Linked DNA regions of Oryctolagus cuniculus. The protein of the gene in region 1 interacts with the protein of each later gene in a biochemical or structural test. Links are inferred from orthologs where the notes say so. Each region holds a gene or a part of one and is shown in the gene's direction. Other genes may lie near its edges.

Evidence for each region. The genes of interacting proteins can lie anywhere in the genome.
Region 2: the proteins of MAPK3 (region 1) and PTPN7 form a complex in vitro, tested with the Homo sapiens proteins (3 studies listed by BioGRID, with this or other methods). The link is inferred for Oryctolagus cuniculus from reciprocal best matches to the Homo sapiens genes MAPK3 and PTPN7.
Region 3: of the proteins of MAPK3 (region 1) and ELK1, one has a biochemical effect on the other in vitro, tested with the Homo sapiens proteins (6 studies listed by BioGRID and IntAct, with this or other methods). The link is inferred for Oryctolagus cuniculus from reciprocal best matches to the Homo sapiens genes MAPK3 and ELK1.

Annotation. Positions count from the first base shown.
Region 1 is NC_091450.1:7,472,699-7,476,894, reverse strand, and holds the start of MAPK3 (mitogen-activated protein kinase 3), read left to right. Parts: upstream 1-1,371; coding exon 1,372-1,544; intron 1,545-2,508; coding exon 2,509-2,691; intron 2,692-4,196.
Region 2 is NC_091444.1:17,996,981-18,001,175, reverse strand, and holds the start of PTPN7 (tyrosine-protein phosphatase non-receptor type 7), read left to right. Parts: upstream 1-1,273; 5' UTR 1,274-1,362; exon of another isoform or gene 1,363-1,440; intron 1,441-2,401; 5' UTR 2,402-2,518; coding exon 2,519-2,577; intron 2,578-3,004; coding exon 3,005-3,188; intron 3,189-3,491; coding exon 3,492-3,576; intron 3,577-4,195. UniProt on the Homo sapiens protein: Protein phosphatase that acts preferentially on tyrosine-phosphorylated MAPK1. Plays a role in the regulation of T and B-lymphocyte development and signal transduction.
Region 3 is NC_091453.1:33,155,492-33,159,786, reverse strand, and holds the start of ELK1 (ETS domain-containing protein Elk-1), read left to right. Parts: upstream 1-1,373; 5' UTR 1,374-1,593; intron 1,594-4,295. Other genes in the region: protein UXT, read left to right, coding at 192-318. UniProt on the Homo sapiens protein: Transcription factor that binds to purine-rich DNA sequences. Forms a ternary complex with SRF and the ETS and SRF motifs of the serum response element (SRE) on the promoter region of immediate early genes such as FOS and IER2.

The DNA of each region.
Region 1 (4,196 bases):
CCTCTTCCGACCCAGCTCCCTGCTGTGGCCTGGGAAAGCAATAGAAGATGGTCCAAGTGCTTGGGTCCCTGCACTCACATGGGAGACCTGGAAGAAGCTCCTGGCTTCCACCTGGCCCAGCTCTGGCCATTGGGGCCATTTGAGGCGTGAAGCAGTGGATGGAAGATCTCTCTCTGTGTGTAACTCTGCCTTTCAAATAAAAAGGAAATATATTTTTAAAATTTGATTCATTCATCAAAAAGAAAATTTTTTTAATGTTTCAGTGCCAGGCATGGGGGTGGGAGGTGGGGATCCAGTGAGGAACAAGATTGACCTTGGCCCCTCTCAGCCTACTGAGAGAATCAGGAAGATGACAACCCTCTTGTGAGTTCAATTTTGCCAAATCCAACAAGCTGGATTTTTCTTTTTAAGATTAATTGATTAATTACTTTAAAAGAGTTACAGAGAAGGAGAGGCAGAGAGAGAGAAAGTCAATCTTCCATCTCCTGATTCAGTCCCCAAATGGCCCCAATAACCAGAGCTGGGCCAGGCGGGAGCCAGGAGACTCATCTGGATGGGCCCACATGGACGCAGGGGCCCAAGCACTTTGGCTGTCTTTGGCTGCTTTCTCAGGCCATTAGCAGGGAGCGGGATTGGAAGTGGAGCAGCCGAGATGCATATCGGATGCACCTGCTATGTCACAGCGCCGCCCCAGATTCTTTCCTTCTTCAAGTGTATTTTAACGAAACCTGCCCACCTGGCACGCACGTGGGGGCAACAGCTGGCCCTGCTGCAGCTGCTGGGAGGGCCAGGGCCTGGACCCCACGCCGGCAGCAGCACCTCGGGCTTCGGCCTCACCCTTAAACGGCAGGTGGGTCTCCACGCGGCTCTGATTTCAAGTACACTCCCTCGGCAGCCGAGCAGAGCTGGCTCAAGGAGGCCAAACCACCAAGGGCCGAGAGGACCCCCAGGGGGCTCCCACAGGAGCAGCTCTGGTCCCAGAAGGCCAGGCACTCCGGGGTGGGGGGCGTCCGGCCCCAGCACACCTTGGCCGGGTGGCCCTGGGGAAGTCACCCGCCAGCTGCCTAGAAATCGAGGGGGTATGGACCGCGCCTACAGCCGCCCGGCGCGCCCGCTCCCAGCACACGGAAGCCCGCAGCGACCAAGCACCGCTGCCCGGCGGCGGGAAAGCCGGACGCGCGCGGGGAGGGCCACGTGACGTCCGCGGGCGCGCGCCCCGGCTCCGCGGCGCGCGCAGGGCGCGGGGGCGCGGGGGCGCGCGGGGGCGGCGCGCGGGGGCGGGGCCTGGCGCGCGCGGCCCCGCGGGCGGGAAGGGGCGGGGCCTCGGGCGGGGCCGCCGTGGGGAGGGCGGGCGGGAGGGGAGGAGTGGAGATGGCGGCGGCGGCGGCGGCTCAGGGGGGCGGGGGCGGGGAGCCCCGGGGAGCCGATGGGGTCGGCCCGGGGGTCCCCGGGGAAGTGGAGGTCGTGAAGGGGCAGCCGTTCGACGTGGGCCCACGCTACACGCAGCTGCAGTACATCGGCGAGGGCGCGTACGGCATGGTCAGGTGAGGGGGCGTTCCGGGGGAGGGGGCGGCCTCAAGGGAGGGGGCAACCCCGGAGGAGGGGGCGGAGGAGGGCTGCAGGGGGCTCGTTGGGCCGTGGAGACTTGGAGTGGCCTGTAGAACCTGGGCACTCTGGAGGCTTGGTGGAGTATGCCCGGGATAGGAGCCCTGGGGTGCTTTCTGGGGGAGGGGGCGCTGCCCATGTTCCTAGGGGAGGGGGCTTGGAGGCTTTGAACGGGAGCCCTCCGCCCCGAAGGGAGCAGCGGTATTTGGGTGTCTGGGGTTGAGGGAGCGGTGGCCCTAGAGACCCGCGTGGGGCGACGAGAATCAGTAGTCTTGGTGAACGAGGACCCTCTTTTGAGAGAGGGGACCTTAGGGTGCCTTGGAGTCCCCAAGCGAGGCTGTGCCCAGGAGTGGAGCGGCACAGGCAGGGCTCTGGGTGGGGCGAGGCTTCGGGCCTCCGGGCCTGAGGAGAGGTGGGGAGTGCCTGCTTGCCTGCATCTTGGGGAGGGGTCTGGGAGCTGGCCCAGCCCTACTGTGTGCTTTGGGCCTTTGCACCGACCGGAAGTTGCTCTGCTGTCCTCGGCCCAGACCCGCCCCTCGGTCCCGCTCCCTGGCCCTGTGGTGGGTTGAGGCAGCCCATGGTGGGGAGGGAGGCCCGGGCTTGGGCAGAATGGAAGGGGGTCAAGCAGAGGGGAAGTCAGCGAGTGGCCAGTCTTCCTCTGTTTGTGAAGTCACCGAAAGGCGGCCTGGCTGGTCCCCAGCTTTCTCCCTGGAGAGCCCAGGCCTTCACAGCAGGAAGGAACGAGCATTGTTTATAACTTGGCCAGAGCCCTCTCCTGCTCTGTCCCCTCCCTCCCTGCCCCTGGCCTGGGTGGGGCCCGCTGGGCCTGGTTCCCGCTCCCCCCCCCCCATCACCACCACCATCATGGCCACACCAGCAGCGACGTCTCTCTGGGCCTCTCAGCTCAGCCTATGACCACGTGCGCAAGACCCGCGTGGCCATCAAGAAGATCAGTCCCTTCGAACACCAGACCTACTGCCAGCGCACGCTGAGGGAGATCCAGATCCTGCTACGCTTCTCCCATGAGAACGTCATCGGCATCCGGGACATTCTTCGGGCTCCCACCCTGGAAGCCATGAGGGATGTGTATCCTACCCCTGGGCCTCCAGAGCTGGGCTCCCCCCTGCCCTGCCACCCTCCCAAATGAAGGCAGTGACAGGCCAGAGGCCCCTCCCCCCCTGACCTGCGGCTGTCAGGCAGGGGGACCTTGGACAGGTCCCTTCTTTGCCCCAAGCCTCCATGGGGAGCCTGGGCGCCAAGGTCTCTTTGGGCTCTTTGTTTTCTGCTGTCTGCAGTTATGTGACCTGCTCTGCCCACGGTCACTTCTTGCTGAACAGACTGGTGATTCTTTCTCTCTGGATCCCCAGACTGGAAAGACAGCAGGGAGGAAGAAAACTGCTTTTTCTTGAGGGCCTACTGCGTGTCAGGTGCTACCCCTGCCTTTGGGTCCCAAGGATGAGGGGACTGAGGCCCGGAACAGCCCCCAAGCAGGTGTCTCTGTGGCTGCCTCACCCCTCCCCCACGCGGGAGCTGGTCCTTATCTTTCTCTGGGACTTCCTGCTCAGAGCCTCGCCCTGGTCACCCGCGCACCTGCCCCTTGCCCAGGGAGGGACAGCTTAGCCTTAATGCCCTCCCCCAAGAGTGCTTTTCTTGCTCCTTGTCCACTTCCGGCCTGGCTCAACCTGGCCTTGCGACACACGTCGCCTCCTCGCCACCCACCCATACCACCTGCTGGTCCCAGTCCAGTCCTCCATCCAAGGGTGGGGATTTGGGTGCCATGGCCAGAGCCCTGCCACAGACCAGGGACGGGAGATTTCCATACTCACCCAGCTTGCCGTGTGACCTGGGGCAAGTCACTGCATTTCCCTTTGAGAGAACACAGGAGATCTAGGCCGGGCCAGATGTTCTCTGAGCAGGTGTGCTGTGGGGGGTGTCTCCTCTCTCATTGTCCTCCCACAAACAGGCAGGCATTTTATTTTCATGCAAAAAAATCAAAATACTTGGATAATTTTTTTTTAAGATTTATTTATTTGGAAGGCAGAATTAGAGAGAGAGAGAGGTCTTCTATCTGCTGGTTCACTCCCCAAATGGCCACAATGACCAGGGCTGGGCCAGGCTGGGCCAAGAGCCAGGAGCTTCCTCTGGGTCTCCCACATGGGTACAGGGGCCCAACCTTTTGGGCCATCTTCTACTGCTGTCTCAGGCACGTTAACAGGGAGCTGGATCAGAGGTGGAGCAGCCGGGACCCGAACCAGTGCCCGTATGGGATGCTGGTGTTGCAGGCGGCAGCATTACCCGCTATGCCACAGCGCCAGCCCCCCAGGAGCTTTTTGAAGACCCCTTGAATTAGTGGACTTTGACGGGGTTTTTTGCACCAGAATCAATTTCAGTGATTTTTTTTTTTAAGTCCCCAGTGGAGATTTGAGGCATTACTGGGTGGACCCTGGAGCTGTCACTCTGAACCGGCATGTTCTCCGGCCCTGGACAGCTTGTTAGTAGCCCCATTTCCCAGGGCCGCAGGAGAGAATGCTCGGGGTCACCTGCCGGGGGTGTGAGAGGCCCTGTGCCCTGCTGCTGAGTTCAGCCCGGCT
Region 2 (4,195 bases), on another chromosome or scaffold:
AGTGCCCCCCCCAACACAGTGGAGACACTGCCCTGTGGGGGTCGAGGTAGAAGCCAGCCTCGGTCACCACCCACAAGGATGCTAGGGACTCCCAGGCCCCTGCTCGCCACCCTGACCTGGGCACCAGAGTCCGGGCTACCCCAGCCCTAACCAGCCGCCTCCTTGGGACATGCACCTGCTCTGCAGAGGGGCTCAGGCGCCAGGAAGAAGGAGCCAGGCCCTGTCCCTGCTTCCAGGAGCAAGGGCAGATGCTAAAGACCTCTGAGCCCCAAAGCGGCATCCTTGTCCTTCCCCTCAACCTTCTCCCCCACAGGCAAGCAGAGGCCAGCCCCCTCCCCACCGCCCCCTCGGGGTGCCCACCTCCTGAGCCTTTTATACATCATGTCTTTGTTGCTGTCACTGTGTGACGGCTGAATCAGAGAAGTGGGAGGAGGAGAGAGGATGCGGGTTGTGCCTGGCAGAGGCCGGGCCGGGAAATGTGTCGGGAATGCTGCAAGGAGCGAGCAGACGTGCGGCCATCATGAGCCTGCTGGGCTGCTGGCCAGGCTGGGGCAGGGGTCAGTGGAGTCTTGGACTTGGGGGCCGCTCCCCAGGCTCCAGGCATCCAGGTGCCCTGGCAGTGAAGAGGACGTGTGGAGACGGCTGGTGTGAGGCCAGGCTGTCTACAGTGTGTAAGTCTATTGGGTGGATGTCATGGCTCTCTGAGGGGGTCTGGCTGGGGCTGGAGCCCGGGGGACACCTCTCAGACTCTCCCCAAGGGGGTCTGCTCTCTGCTCCCCCGTGCTGAGGAACTTGGGGACTGGAGAGACCTGGAGAGGCCTTTGTCTCTAGTCATGGAACCCCAGACCCCTGCCTCCGCTTTTTCCTGCATCACCGCTCTGGGGGGAGGCGGCCTATGCTTGGCCCAAGGCTTACAGCGGCGAGGGCTTCCAGAGAGAGGGCTCTGGGCAGGAGCGAAGAAGTAGAAAGAAGTCTGAAGCCAAAGTCAGGTGACGCAGGAGCGAGCTGGGTCCTTGGTGGGACGGAGTGGAGCTGGGGCAGGGCTGGGCAGGCCTAAGGCCCAGAGGAGAAACCCCCAGGAGTGAAGAGGGTATGGGAGCCAGAGGAATGGGGTGGTCAGGGCCTGGGCCCGGCAAAGGAGCTGAGACACAGCCTGGCCGCCCTGGGCAGGCGCAGGCAGAAGGCACGGGACCCCTGGTGGTGACAGCAGCAGGCGCAAGAGGGCAGCACACAGCTGGGGTATGCGTGGGTGGCAGTGCGGAGGGGCGGAGGGAGGAAGCTGGCTTCCTGGAGCCTCCCCAGTCTCAGAGACAGACCGACAGACAGCTGGCAGGAGGCAGCCTGGTGGACACGGCTGCTTCAGTGAGTACCAGAGGGGCACCTGGCAGTGCTACCGCCCTGGGGTGGCGTGGGCCCCGAGGGACCGGCCGGGGCCTCCAGGTAGGGCGTGCACGAGGGTGAGTCGGGGGCTGCTGTGTCGGGTGGGGACTGGGTGCTGGCACATCCGAGGGCCCGAGGCTGGGAGCGCAGGGCAGCCACAGGCAGCTGCAGGAGAACAGAGGCCAGAGGATCCGCACCTGCTGGGGAACACTCTCAATGCACCACACCTGCCCGGGGCCCACGCTGTCCCCTCACCTCTGTCCCTGCGGGCCCACAGTTCCCACCCACCCCCGTGCTATCTCGCAGCTGGGACCCTGGCTTGGGGAGATGGGGGCTGCCCCCCAGGAGGAGGTGGTCCCATCACCTCCGTGCCCCCCTCTCGTGCCCCGGGCTGTCGCCTCACCACGCGCTGTCACTCAAGGGCTTGGTGAGGCCATTTCCTGTGACGGTTACAGAGGCGGGAGATAGGGGGGATGGGCAGGAGGAGGAAGGAAACATCCCCAGCCGACCTCCCTGGACAGAGACCCCAGAAGCCAGAAATGAACTTGGAAGTGGAAATGCCGGCAGCTGGGGGAGGATCCTGCTGGCGGCCAGCAGCCCGGCTTGCTCGGGGTCCTGACTGGCCCTCCAGCCACCAGAGGCTTCCACCTCCTCCTGCAGGAGAGATCTGGGGCGCCTTCCCCTCTGCTTCTGCATGGAGCCCAGCTTTCCTACGTCCTCCCTCGCCTTCTCTCACCCGGACCCCAGCTTCCAGCCCTGGGCTCCTTGGTCTCCGGCCTCTCTGCTCTCTCTTCCTCCTTCTGCTGTCTTTCCTACCTTCACCCATAATCTCCAGCCCTTATCACACCCTTACTCTCACCCAAAACCGCCTGCTGCCCTGGGTCCCACCAGAGAGGTGCGGGCCCTCCCATGGTGACAAGGAGGCCGTGTGCTGGGGGACACAGACCTCCCACAGAGGAAGCAGAGGCACTTAGAGACAGAAGGCAGCCAGAGGCCAGCCACTGAGGGTCCCATCTTTCAGGGGGACCTCCTGGCCAACCGAGCCTCCTCTGGGCCCAGCACCCCACCCCAGCATGGTCCAGGCCTGTGGCAGCAGCGCTCCAAAACACAGCCAGCAACCTCGCCGTGGGGGGCAGTCATGACCCAGCCTCTGCCGGCCAAAGCACCTGCCAAGAGGCATGTGCGGCTGCAGGAAAGGTGAGCTCTTCCCCGGGAGGGGGCCCCTGCCTCCATGAGCCTCCGCTCAGCCGCGGGCCCCAATCTGGACAGGAAACCAGTGGCGCTCATTTGCATGTGCTTTGCATGTCTGGGGCATGAGGCTTCACGTCAACCCTGAGCCCCGTCCCTACATCCAGGTGGGGCAAGGCCAGGGGCCCTCCTGGTGCCCGAGCCTCAGGGCTTGGGGTGGCAGCGGAAAGGGGCCGGCCGCTGGAAGGAGCAGTCGGCGTCGAGGTTGAGCAAGGGAGAAGGGCGTGCAGCAGGCCTGGCCCCTGGCACCCACTGGGCCCCTGGGTCATGGGGAAGATGCGGAGCAGCTTCCTCCCATGTGCCCTGGAATGACAACACTTGCAAGGGAAGCCAGTACCCCGGGTGCTCACTCGGCTCCGGGTGGCTGTGCCTGCAGGCGGGGCTCCAACGTGGCTCTGATGCTGGACGTCCGGTCGCTGGGGGCCGTGGAGCCCATCTGCTCGGTGAGCACCCCGCGGGAGGTCACCCTGCACTTCCTGCGCACAGCTGGACACCCCCTGACCCGGTGGGCTCTGCAGCACCAGCCGCCCAGCCCCCAGCAGCTGGAGGAGGAATTCTTGGTAAGAACTTGGGGCGCGCTCTGCCACACTCTGCCTTCCTGGTGCAGAGCAGCCAGCCGGCTCCCTTCTCCAGCAGGTATGGGGGGCAGGTCCTCCTCTTTGGGCTCCGTAGGAAAGAGAAGTCCAGGGCTCCGGGCTGGAGGCTGCCCGCAGGCTTCCTCTTCTGCCCTCCCCAACATCCGCACCTCCACACAAACGCCAAGAAGGCACAGCCAGGGCCCAGCTCCACCAGGAAAGGGTGCAAGGGGAGCAAAGGAGGCTGGGAAGGTAGTGCCGCTCACCCACTTCCTCTCGCCCTGCCAGAAGATTCCCTCCAACTTTGTCAGCCCCGAGGACCTGGACATCCCTGGGCATGCCTCCAAGGACCGCTACAGGACCATCTTGCCAAGTAAGGGCTGCGCCTGAGACCCAGGGAGGTGGGCACCGTGCTGGGGCTGGCAGGTGCACAGGCTGACCTCGCTTGGAGCACCGTCTTCCGGCAGACAAATAGCAGTACCACCCCTGGTGGGGGGAAGAGGAGGTGAAATCCCAGGAGCGACAGCAGTCCCTTTGCAGGTGCTTGCTGTGGGCCAGGCACTGCCTTCATAGTAACTCATTTTCCTTTTTTAAAGGCTGATTTTTTTTTTGTTTGAGCGGCAGAGTGATAGATTGGCGGGGAGGGAGAGAGAAGAGAGAGAAGATAGAGAGAAAGATCTTCCATCCAGTGGTTCACTCCCCAAAGGCCTGCAACAGCCAGGTCGGAAGCCAGGAGCCAGGAACTCCATCCATGGGTAGTAGGGGCGCAAGGACGTGGACCATCCTCTGCTGCCTTCCCAGGCGCACATGCAGGAAGCTGGGTGGGACGCGGAGCAGCCGGGACTCCCACCAGCACTCCGCTATGGGATGCTGGCATCGCGCGGCAGCTCCACCCATCGCCTACCACACCACAGTCTACACAGTAACTCCAGGGAGCTGGCGCTTTTACAGGCGAGGGAACCGAGGCGTGGAGCAGTTGGTGGGCTTGCCCC
Region 3 (4,295 bases), on another chromosome or scaffold:
GAGCAGCTCACTCCACTCCCAGCCTCTATGTCCAGATGTGGTTAGGGTGATGACCTAAAGAAGGGAGAGAGCCGACGAAGGAAAGGACCATCTTTCCTTCTAAACTGGATCCAAGGGCGGGGAGGTCAGAGCAAGCCTGAGGTGGGGCCTGGACCCGTCCCTTGTTAAATCCTTTCTGTCCTTTTTTTCAGGGGCTTAGAGAACTACAAGGCCTGCAGAATTTCCCAGAGAAGCCTCACCATTGACTACTTACCGCATCCTCCGACATTAAAGATCCTGAATGCCTTTGAGTCACATGGCCCTTCTTTTTCCCCCTAACTCCTGCGGGTTGCCAAGGCACCCTGTTTCCAGAGTCCAGCATTAATTGGAAGATCTAGTTTCTCTATGGATCCTTTAAAGCACCCTGGAAGTCCTGCCTCCGGCCTATTGCCTGGCAGCATTTGCTACTTGACTTTAGGCTCTGCCCTCTGTCACCATGGCAACCTCACACACACACACCCTTCCTTGCATTCCTTTTACTGGCTATCGCCCTTTGAATTGCCATGGAGAATGGACAGGTTCAGGGTGGAGGTTTGTTCCCATGGCAATCAGCCTTTCACTCCTAGCCCTAAGGTTTAACCCTTCTCCCAAATCCCAATCGTTCCTCAGGTACCATCAATTACACCCACGCCAGGCTCAGCCCAACCTTGGCCTCTGCTTCCAGTTTCCACCAATAGGCGCAGAGCCAAATTCTGCCCTCCCTGGTCCAGCCCCCCAGTCAGCACAGAGCCAGGTTCCGCCCCCTTAATAACTCTAGCCACAGCTTGACCCTGTCTTTTCTGTGAGCACTTAGTTTCTCAACGCTCCTTTGCGAGTCTGGCAGCCATCCTGCCCTCCTACCCCCGCTCCCTTCTAAATTCGTCCCTTCTAGCCAATCACTATAGAGTTACCCTGCCCGCCTACGCAGAGCCCGGCTGGCTGCTACGCCCATTTCTATACAAGTCCTGCTTCCGCTAAGCAGCGTGGCGTGCAGCACCGCCTGCTTGGTGTTTTGGCAGCTGTCTAGGAGTCTAATCCTCCAATCAGCGGAGAACAGCACCGCACCCCACCCCGGCCCGCGCGCCCGCCATTCTTAGGGGCTGTCTGTCTGCCATCAATTCCGTTTAGGCCAATCAGTGTGAGGCAGGCGCCCCCAAGCTTATCAATTAACCACGATCTGTCGGTTCTCTTTGAGCCAATCAGCGTGGAGCACCGGCGAGGGCTAGCATGCCGCCTCGGGACTTGGGTGTCCGTCCGCGCACATCATTTCTCCTTCGGCCAATCACGGAATGGCTCTGTGGGGCAGGGTCCGCCCCGCTGAGCCCCTAAGCCGTGCGTTCTAGCCTTGGCTCTTTAGCCAATCAGCAAGCGGCGGGACGTTGGGCTCCTCCTCCACAGGCCCACGTGAGCGGTGGGGAAACGCAGGGGCGGCTTCTAGGTGCTGCCGCCGCCACCGCCACCACCGCCGCCGCCTCGGAACCCGGGCCTGGGGGGCGGTGGGGCCGCGTATGGAGCCCCCGCCCCCCGGAGCTATTAACACCAGCTACGCCACCGCCACTGCAGCGCTACGCACAGGTGAGCCCCGGCCTGGAGGGTGGAGGGTCCTGTCCATGACCCCATGTATCTTCCCGCCCCCGCGCGGGGAATGTGGCTTGGCCCGTGGCCTGCTAGTGTTCCACTCCCCACTGCCGCCCCACCACAGCTGGTGGACCTGCGTATGACATGCCCTCTCCTCCCTTCGCCTCTTATAGTGGATCTGACCGTGGCCTAATCGTCCCCCTTCCGCGGTATAATGGATCGGTCTGCGTGCTTCTATTCTCCACACCCCAATTTACAGTGGACTCGTCCATTGGCTTGCCCCACCCCCCACCCCCACTTATAGAGAGCCAGTTTGTGGCATTGTCCAGCCCCCTTAATAGTAGGTGCGTCTGAGTGTTTGCGTTTCTTGCACCCTTAACTTTCGGGGGCCCCTCTGTGGCCTTGTTTATTCCACCCGTCCTGTTCCCCATAGCGAATCAATCCGTGGCGCTATATCCCACCACCAACACACACACGCACAGACATACACACTCCTGTTTAACAGTGAGTCCACCTGAGTATGTCCTTGCCTTCTCCAGTCCCCTAATGTATCAGTGCATGGCCTTGTCAACGCGCCCTCCCTTTTTACGGTGCATCTGTCTCCAGGCTTGGGCTCACATCCCCCGAGCTAGCAGCCCATTGCCCTGCGTGGCCTCCCTGTTTTGTACACTGCCACTCCAGTCCTTGGGCTTTCTCCTTTTTCCTACAGGAGTCAATAAGTTTTTTCTACTCCTCTCCCTGCTAGCAGATGAATGTTAGCCCTGTAAGGTATCTGTACCATGGCCTTCCTGCCCCCCCCCCCCCCCGTGTTCTTGCATTCCCACTCTGCCTTACATACCTCCCCCAGGAGGGTTAGCCTGTACATTTTTCTCTTCCTCCCCCTTTCCTTGTGGAGCACTCTCCTTCGTACACACTCTTAGCCACCCGGATATCCTGCCACCACCACAATGAATGAATACATTAGCGATAGTGGTGATGAGAATACCAAGAGGAGCTAACATTTATTGAGCATCTGCTATGTACCAGGCAAAGTGTTTTATTTTAGGGAACTCAGTCGGTCCTCACCAGTCTTAGGAGATAGGTACTGCAGAAATGGGAGCATAGGGAGTTAAATGCCTTATTCAAGGGTGGCCCAGTAAGTGCTAGGGGCACAGAACAGTTTTTGAAGCTCCCCTCTCTCACTTCATCCCACCCCGTGTGAGACCCTACTCCTTTAAAACCAAAGTAGTTCCCACCTCCATGGTTTTTTCTTTTTTTTTTTCCGTTTCCGGTGCCTGCAGAGCTGTCTCCATGCCACACCTTGTCTCAGCACCCAGCCAGCCCCAGTCCTTTTAGCTGGGTGACCCCACAGGCATGATTTAATCATGTTCTCCCTGCACTTGGTTTCTCATTTGTAAAATGACGGAACCGACTAGAACCCCCTCCAGCATAAATACAGAATACCTGTGAGTTAATGAAACAAGTCACTTCTCTGGCCTCCACCACCCCACCCCCTCTAACTGTGCTCCTGGCTACACTGGCCACCTCGGCACTGGTCTTCAGACACAGTAGACGTGCCCAACCTCGGGCCCTTTGCATTGCTTCTTCTCCCACTCCTCTGGGAGCTTTGCTTGGCTCCTTTCAGGGCTCTGTTCAAATGGCACAGGTGCATGGCACACACTATGTGAAGACACATGCAAAATCAGCTTCGGAGAAGGCCAGTTTATATGTGAACAAGGTAGGTGCATGTTGCTTTAGCAAAAGAATGCGTTCCCAAAACGAATACCTGTAATACCAGCTCGCCTAAAGGCACAGGTGGAAAAGCAGCTTCTAAAGAGCGCTTGAGGCCGGCGCCATGGCTCAGTAGGCTAATCTTCTGCCTTGCGGCGCCAGCACACCGGGTTCTAGTCCCGGTTGGGGTGCCGGATTCTGTCCCGGTTGCCCCTCTTCCAGGCCAGCTCTCTGCTGTGGCCCGGGAAGGCAGTGGAGGATGGCCCAGGTGCTTGGGCCCTGCACCCCATGGGAGACCAGGAGAAGTACCTGGCTCCTGCCTTCGGATCAGCGCGGTGCGCCAGCCGCAGCGCGCCGGCCGCGGCGGCCATTGGAGGGTGAACCAACGGCAAAAGGAAGACCTTTCTCTCTGTCTATCTCACTGTCCACTCTGCCTGTCAAAAAAAAAAAAAAAAAAAGGAGCGCTTGAACTTGGTTTCATCTGGGTCGTGTTATTGCAGTAAACAGTCTGTTCCATCATGCTGTGGTGCTTGGGATACACTACTTAAAGGCACACGCCTTACAAAAAGTTGCTCAGAATGCTGTTTCTAGCAAAAAAAGAACCAACTTCTCTTGGCCACCCCCTGATCCTGCACACTTAGCAGAGCTCAGGCCCCTCTCCTGTTTTGCTTGTCCCTTTGCCCTTTTCTGCTTTCTGACACTGGCCAGTTTACTGTTTCTCCCCATTAGAAGGGTAGTCCTATGAGAACTTATGCTTTTTGTCTGCTTATTGGCTGCTGTGTTTCCAGTTCACACACACAAAAAAGGTAGCTGGTATACAGTAGGTGCTCAGTAAGAATTTATTGCATGAATAGATGTGAAAAATAGAATTTCAGACCTTGATATCAGGGACAGAATGGAGAAGGGATATGAGAAGGAATGAAACAGGCAGAAATCCATGCCCTTGGAGGCAGACCGTGTAAACAAGACAAGCGAAATAAGATGGTCTG